Oryctolagus cuniculus: one gene and its partner. The protein of the gene in region 1 interacts with the protein of each later gene in a pairwise test. Links are inferred from orthologs where the notes say so. Each region holds a gene or a part of one and is shown in the gene's direction. Other genes may lie near its edges.

Evidence for each region.
Region 2: the proteins of EPB41L3 (region 1) and YWHAG interact in binary tests that used the Homo sapiens proteins (3 or more experiments, as listed by UniProt). The link is inferred for Oryctolagus cuniculus from reciprocal best matches to the Homo sapiens genes EPB41L3 and YWHAG.

What each region holds. Positions count from the first base shown.
Region 1 is NC_091441.1:62,339,593-62,343,399, reverse strand, and holds part of EPB41L3 (band 4.1-like protein 3), read left to right. Parts: intron 1-2,614; coding exon 2,615-3,175; intron 3,176-3,807. UniProt on the Homo sapiens protein: Tumor suppressor that inhibits cell proliferation and promotes apoptosis. Modulates the activity of protein arginine N-methyltransferases, including PRMT3 and PRMT5.
Region 2 is NC_091450.1:44,225,782-44,230,051, forward strand, and holds the start of YWHAG (14-3-3 protein gamma), read left to right. Parts: upstream 1-1,438; 5' UTR 1,439-1,680; coding exon 1,681-1,767; intron 1,768-4,270. UniProt on the Homo sapiens protein: Adapter protein implicated in the regulation of a large spectrum of both general and specialized signaling pathways. Binds to a large number of partners, usually by recognition of a phosphoserine or phosphothreonine motif.

The sequences.
Region 1 (3,807 bases):
GAGGTTGAGGGGTGGGTTTTTGGCATAGTAGGAAAGATACTCTTTGGAATCCTGCATCCCATATTGGGGTGCCTGGGTTCAAAGTCCTGGCTCAGTTCCTAGTTCCGGCTCCCTACTAAAGCACACCCCAGGAGGCAGCAGGTGATGATGGCTCAAGTTCTTGGGTCCCTGTTACACATGTGGGAGACCTGGATTGAATTCCTGGCTCCAGCCTGACTTACCCCTGGGCATTAAGGGTATTTAGGAAGTAGATCCGTGAATAGGAGTACACTGCCTCTTGTGTGTGTAAACTTCTCTGCCTTTCTAATAGAAAAAAATAATTTTAATGTCTGTGTTAGTACAAAAAGAATTTTAAATCTATGCATAATTTTTCATGATATTCATTTCCACGAACTTTTTGAAGTACTGTCAAATTCCCCATTGTAAAGTTGTCTTTTAAAACCCTCTTTAATAGGCAACATGAAAGATTAAACCTTAATTTTATTCATCTCCATCTTCAAAAAAGGAACATAGATAGTACTTACATTTTAACCAAAGGAAAATATGTTACTGACAAAGTTCTTAGAAGACCCGGCCTGGATTGCTGGAAGAGGCGGGTGTCTCCCCCTGGTGATGCCCCAAGCACACGGTGCTGCTCTCTGCTGGAGGACTGTTGTCTTCTTGCAGAACGTAGCTTGTTAATTCTGTGTCATTCCTGGCTGAATGAGATTCATGCAGGCTCCTGTTTAAAATGCACAACTTTATTTCAAATGTGCATGTTTGGGAGTGACTTATGGTCAAAAGAGATACTTCTAATGCTAATAAAGCCATGATATAATTTTATTTGTGCATTTTCTTTCCTTCTGTTGCTATATTTACCACCTCTTTCCAAGTCAGAATTGGATAAACAACCACCACCACCACCACCCCCCAGCCCCAAGGAGCCTGGATAATTTCCATGCTATCAGGTCACTAGGCAAAACACACACACACATAGAAACTGTAGCTCTTTAAAAAACATATTCATTTATTCACTTATTTGAAAGGCAGAGAAACAGAGAGGGGGACAGAGGAAGAAATCTTCCATCTGCTGGTTCACTCCCTAAATGTTCAGAACAGCCAGAGCTTGGCCAGGCTGAAGCCAGGAACTCCATCTGGGTTCCCAAACATGGGTAACAAGGGCCCAAGTACTTGGTCCATCATCTGTTGCTTCCCTGGGAGCATTAGCAGGGAGCTGGATTGGAAAGCAGAGCACCAGGATTCAAACATGGGATGCCCACTTTGCAAGCAGCAGCTTAACCCGCTGAGCCACAATGCCGACCTCAGAATGTAGCATTTATCTTCAGGTGCGGGTGCCTTGGCCTTGTACCCTGCCAGGCTGTGACAGCTTCCGCATCTGCACAGGCCTTGCTTGCAATGAACTTGCTTTCCTTCTTCCCTTTGTTGCCTAGCCGCTGCCTTGCCACCTATCTGCAGAGGAAACTGGCTTTGGTCAGTGAGGTGTACAGGATGCAGAATAAATGGGAACTGGACCTCTTTGCCCCCCAAAGACTTGTAGTAGGCAGCATGTAGTAGGCACTTTTGTAGAAATGCCTGTTTCTACCGTTGTATTAAGGACTCAAATCAAAGGTATGACTGTGCCCTTTATCTGCTAAGAAAAACCAGAAGGCTGGGAAATTGTATCTTTCTATTATTTATGGACCACAAAAATAGAAAGAAAACACAAACCATGTTACAAGACAGCCCTTTCTTTTTGCTAGTCAGCTTGTTAAAACCATTTATTTGTGTTTTTCTTTTCATTTATTCTGCTTTGGTCCTAGAGAAAGGAGACAAAATAGAAAGGTTTTCAGAGGAGCCTCCATTCATTGAGGGGGTCAGAGTCTCTGAGATGCTCCTTGTTGAGTCTCCTGGTGATGAGTTCTTATCAGATAAGAATGGCGCCAGAAACCTCTTGTTTTGTGAAAACCACCTGTTTTGGATGTAGTTAATTAAACAAGGGAAGGAGTAATGCTGGAGATTATAAATAATAATAATAATAATAAAATTTGTATTGGATTTCATTTTCATTTTTAAGTCAGCTCAACTATAATACTACATCTGCTACTTCTAGATCAGGACAAAGTTATTGAAAGTCTTGACTTTAATCCTTTAAAGTCCCAAGTTTTCCATTCTGCAAAAATTTATTTCAGTGTTACTGTAACTGGTATATTTATTGCTCAGTCTAAATCTCTGTTAGTGTCTTATATAGAATGATAGGACATATCTAAGTTATCAGAATTGTATTTGTCCTCAAAGTTCTAAAACTTTCTCAAGTTGTTGGCCTAAAATGAAAATTTTTTTTGATTGTGTAAAATTTTAGACTTTGGGATTTCCCACAAATACCTTCAGTTCTGACTTAAAAAAAAAAAAAATCCCACCTTGTATGTGATGGTCCTGTGGGAGAACCGTAGCTGTTCACGATGAGGTTGGCATGCAGCTTGAATACTTGACAATTCATGAGCAACCCTAGTGCTTAAGTTCTTGTTTTACAATTTATATTGATTCCCATAAGAAAATTAACTAATTGCAGTTTTCTTTTTGTCCTTTTGCACCTCTGTTTGCTGCTTCCTGTCTCTCTCTGTCTCTTTCACATCAGTCACCTGGGCTTGGCACCGACTCATGTCCCCTGTCACCCCCATCAGCCCATCATACCCCTGCATCCTCTACAGAGCTGCGTCGGAGGTGTAAGGAGAAGGAGCACGCACTGCCAGGTTGCGAGGCGCCCAAAGCCCAGCACATGCGTGGAGAGCCCACCTTGGACCCTGATGGCCAAGGGAAGGCTTACGTGGGGGATCAAGATGTGGCTTTCAGCTGCAGACAGCAAACTGGCAAAGGGACCACCCTGTTCTCCTTCTCCTTGCAGCTCCCCGAGTCATTCCCCTCTCTCCTCGATGATGACGGCTACCTCTCTTTCCCCAACCTCTCTGAAACCAACCTCCTGCCCCAGAGCCTGCAGCATTACCTCCCCATCCGCTCCCCGTCCCTCGTGCCCTGTTTCCTCTTCATCTTTTTCTTCCTGGTCTCCGCCTCCTTCTCAGTGCCATATGCCCTCACTCTCTCCTTCCCTCTGGCTCTGTGCCTCTGCTACCTGGAGCCCAAGGCGGCCTCCTTGAGCGCCTCCCTAGACAATGACCCGAGTGACAGTTCAGAGGAAGAGGTGTGTACCTCGGCATAGAACACACTTCCCCTGCGTGTTCCGTGCTTCAGTCCGACACAGTGGTAGCCGGCTGCTGCGATACTGGTCCTACTTTCAGAGCCTCATTTATTGTCTGTGCCGATCCGTTGAGGTTTCTTTTGTGTGTTGGGGAGTCCAACCCGGGCCCCAGGGTTAGGCACAACACCATGTGGCCATATCGCTGAGTTCATTTAGGGGTAAAGGACTCAGCCGGAAGTCAATGTTAAAGAACCCATTAGCATTGTAAAAGATCAGGGCTAAATTGCAGGTTCTATGCAGTTATCATGTGACAAAGTAAATCACACCCAAGACACATGAATAACTTTGAACTGAAATGATAGCCAGGGAGATTTGGGAGGGAGCACCCCAAGGGCTGTGTCATCATTATCTGGGTAGTGTTCCAAAATTACAGCTCTAGGATCCGGGAATGCCCCACCCGTTGCCAGTCTGTCCCTGTTACTCACAGAGCTGTGTCAGATGCCCTGGTTCAGAACGAGTGTCCCACGGGATTTAAAACACCCGAATGATGTCTGTTGTTGGTAGGTCCAGAAACAGAACCAGGGAAAGCTGCATGCAGTGAGCAGGGTTCAAACCCAATCAGGACAGGACCTAAT
Region 2 (4,270 bases), on another chromosome or scaffold:
CAGCCCCCATTAAGGATCACCGGGGACACCAGGCACGGCAGACTCCTTGCCTGTTACAACGAAAGGGAGGGACTCCCGGCCCTGAAGCCCTATCATCCTGCCACGGCTGGGTCGGGGATGTCAGCAGCCTCCCTGCGGCAGGTTTTCAGAAGCTGCTCCTATCCAGCCAGAAAGAATCATTAAAAAAAAAAAAAATCTATATATCTATGTATTTGCAGCACTTACCTCCTAAATTCTGCCAGGACAGGTTCCTCCGACATCTAGCAGAGTCTAGAATATTCCCCTCACAGAAACTCATGTGAGGTTCAGAGCCCTTCCTTGGACTCCCTTTTTTTGCTTTCTAACCCACATTATTGATTTTTATCTCGCTTGTTTTGTGGGGCAGGGATTTTTTTTTTTTGCTGCTTCGTTCATTGCTGGGAGCATAGCAGGCGCTCAATACCTGTCGAACGACTGATGCAAAGCAGGCAGGCGAGGGTGGGTGCGCGCTGTGGAACCCAGGAATAAGCCTGTGTCAGGGTGCAGGTGCTGGGTGGGGGCAGAGGGGTGGCCCGCCCCAGCCGCAGTGTCATGGAGATAAAAAATTCTGCAGCTCCACCCGGAGCGGAGGAACGGGCTCCGACGCGTCCCCTGGGGACGTGAACCAGGGTGCCCAGCCGCTATTCCGCTTCCTACGTGTCACCCGGACAGGTCCAGCAGCCTCCAGGGGGACTGCGGACCTGGAGCCTCGCTTGGGGACAGAGAGTCCCCCGCTTCAGGCAGCCGTCGCGCGGGGGAGCGCCATGCTGACAGGCTGGAGCTACCGTGTCCGCGCCCCCTCATTCCCTCTCCCGGGCCCTGCTCCCCGCCATGACCGGCTATTCTGCCTGGAAAACAGGGTCTGGGCTGGGGCCCCGCCCCTCCCCGGGTAACTGCCCAGAGGACATGGGGCGGGGCCGTGAATCAGCACTCGCTCCGACCGTTGCCGCCCTCGTCCCCGCCAGAGGTCTCCCGTGTCCGCCGGTTTAGGAGCCCCATCCTCCCACGCCCCTGCGCGCTATGCACACTGGGAGATGTAGTCTCGGCCGCCCTTTTGTCTTCGGTTTCCTCAATGCGCCGTTGGACGGCGTTGTGAACTACAACTCCCAGGAGCCCACGCGCGCCCTAGGCCCGGCCGGCCCGGGGCCTGAAGGGGGGAGGGGAGTCTGGAGAGGCTTAGGCGAAGGAATCCGGGTGCAGTAAAAAAAAAAAAAAAAAGGGGTGGGTGGGTGGGAGCGTGGCGGGGGGCAGCGGGGAAGCAGAGGACACTCGCAAGACCGCAGCGGGCCGAGCTGGGGGATGGGGGACCGAAGCTCGAGCGGCGCGAATGCCCGGGCGGGGCCTGGGCGGGCGGGCGCGCGCGCGCGCGCGCGCGGGTGAGTGGGCGGGGCCGCTTGCGTCACGCGGCGTGGGCGGGGCCGCAGGGGGTTGTCCGCCCGCGGCACGCACAGCAGCCGCAGCCGCCTCGCGCCCGGTCCCGCGGTCGCAGCTCGTGCCGCCTCCTCCTCGCCGCCGCCTCAGCCGCTGCCGCCGCCGCCGCCTCAGCCTCTCGCCTCGTGGGTCGGTCTTTCCGGCACACGGGCCCCAGCCGCGCCGCAGCCGCCCTCCGAGCCCCTTCAGGCCGCCCCGGTGTCCCCCTCCGGCCCGACCCAGCCCGCGAAGATGGTGGACCGCGAGCAACTGGTGCAGAAAGCCCGACTGGCCGAGCAGGCGGAGCGCTACGACGACATGGCCGCGGCCATGAAGAACGTGAGTGTCTCCTCCCCTCCCCCACGCTCCCCCGTCCCTCCGGGAGGGGGGCACGCGGTCAGCGGCGGGCAAGGCCCGGCGCGACGGCAGGGGAGGGGGCGGCAGCCCGGGGGCTGCGTCCCCGCGGGGGCTGCGGCGGGGACCCGGGTGGGGACGCGGCCTCGCCCGGGGGGCCCGGCGGCGCTGGGCGGGGTCTTGCGGGTCTGGTCTCCGGGTGTGCGGGGGGCCCTGCGCATCCTTTGTGCCCCACTTCCCCTCCTCCCCGCCGGGCGTGGGGGCGGGGGGCCGCATGGACGCCGTTCCTCTTTCTCTCCCTGGTGTCTGGGCGGCGCCTTTCCCGTCCGCTCGGCGGGTCTCCCGGGTGGCCACCCCCTCCCCAGCCCTTGGACCCTCCCCGGGGTGTGGGGGTTGGGGGGGGGGGGAAGGTGCTCCGGAAAACCTGGGCTCCGCGGTGCAAAATCGAAACCTCCTGGCTCACGTTTTTCTTAACAAAAGGCTGTAGCTCCATGGCCCAAAGCGCATCCCCTGCCCTTTTTTTTTGGGGGGGGGGCGTTTGTCTCGCTGGCGTTTCCATTGATTGTTCTCAATATGTCATCTCCATTTTTTTCCCCTTGTGTTCTTGCATTGGAAAGGGTAGGTATCGCCCTGAAAATAAACGTTGAGAATTTAGCTCCCTGTTTCTTCTTTGAACACAGGCACGCGTCTGTTGAAATTCCTACAAGTTGAAAAAAAATATATAGAGATATAGGCACACAGTCCGTCTGATCTGATATTGCAAACAAAGCGGTGGTGGGAGGCAGGATCCAGGCGTTCCAGAAGGTTCTGCATTTGTCATATTGCAGAGAGCCTAGACTGGGTGGAGGCAGGGAGCACTTCGCGGCCAGGGGAGCGAGCCCTTGCTCAGGAATTCGCTCTGGGAGCCGCCGGAGCTTCCTGCCCCTCGCCCTGGAGGAGAGGCAGCCCCGCTCAGCCCCGCGGTCTGGTCTGTGCGGGATGCGGGTCCCTGCCCCCGGCTGCACCATTTTGTCAGGAGCCCCAGCTCGCCCCGGCCCGCAGTGTGAATTCAGGGGAGGGGGGCTATTGCTGAAGGAGACGCAGGAAAACGGATGGTTTAGGGCTCCCACCGCCTTAGTATTTCACTTCCTGCCTTATGTAACAGGGTTAGAACGCCTCTCGGGCTGCGGTTTAAGGCTGCACCTTCAGAGCGGTGTGGGTTACGTTCATTCTTGAGCAGCAAGGTGACAAGGCTGGTCTGTTATCCTTGCTCCAGCTACAGATATTAACAAAAATTTTTTTATCCTGTTGAGGAAGGTCATTGTTCTGAAATTGGAGATGGTGCTGTTTTCATACATCCACAGAGTTGGTAGTTCTTAACGTTTTAATGCTCTGATAATGCAAGTCGCACTTTTAATATCTGCTCAACACTATTGGGAATATCTCCGGTTCGTGTCCTTTATTTAGGCTTTAATTCTGCCATGTTCCGAGTTTCACAGGAAGGCGAGTGACCTCGCACCTGTACCCATAGCAGCCCAGTGATGTCACGCACAATGACACAGAGGCTGCAGTGCACCTCGGAGCTGGGAGGAGTGTGCACTTGGCGTCTGTCCAAGGAGTGCAGAAGGTGGCTGAGGAGCCAGGTGGAGCTGAGCCCTTTATCCTCCCCCAGATAAGAACGGGTCCAGAAAACACGAATTTCCTTTTCCCTCAGACATGCAAACCCGCGACCCCTGGATATGCCTCACTCGTCTTCCCGTTTCCAGTTGGTCTCAGGATCCATGAGATACTTTCGTCTTTTTGAAGCATTGATCTCGCACATTTTAAAAATTGGGACAACAGCGGAATGAAAGAATTTTTAAAATAATACAGGATCACAGTGCAGGGGTGGAATGTGTACTCGGGTTTATTGCAAATAATTGGCAGGTTTTAATGAAAACCCTAAGAAACTGCGGCTTCCCACTGGGTTATTCTCAGGAAGCCGTAGGGAACGGAGACCTTTCAGGAAACATTTGACTTCAGGATTTGGGAAGCTGCTCTGTGCTTCCTCTCCTCGACAGAGCAGGGAGGAGAGAACCAATTGTACAATCAGGGTTTTTTTTTTTTTTTTTTTCTTTTAAGATTTATTTATTTGAGAGGCAGAGAGAGGTCTTCCGTCACTGGTTCACTCTCCCAAATGGCTGCAACAGCCAGAGCCAGGAGCTTCTTCCTGGTCTCCCATGAGAATGCAGGGGCCCAAGCACTTGGGCCGTCCCCCAGTGCTTTCCCAGGCCATTAGCAAGGGAGTTGGATCGGAAGTGGAGCAGCCAGGACTTGAACCAGTGCTCAGGGGGATGCCAGCAGGCTTCACCCGGTGCACCACAGTGCTGGCCCCAACAAGGATGTTTTTTGAAAGCTATTTATGTTGACTTAGCAAGTAGGTTTCCCTCTGACTTCCTTTCCCCATCCGTGGAATGGGGCAATACCTGCCTGAATGGGTTACAGGATTACGTAAGGGACGCGGGAGCTG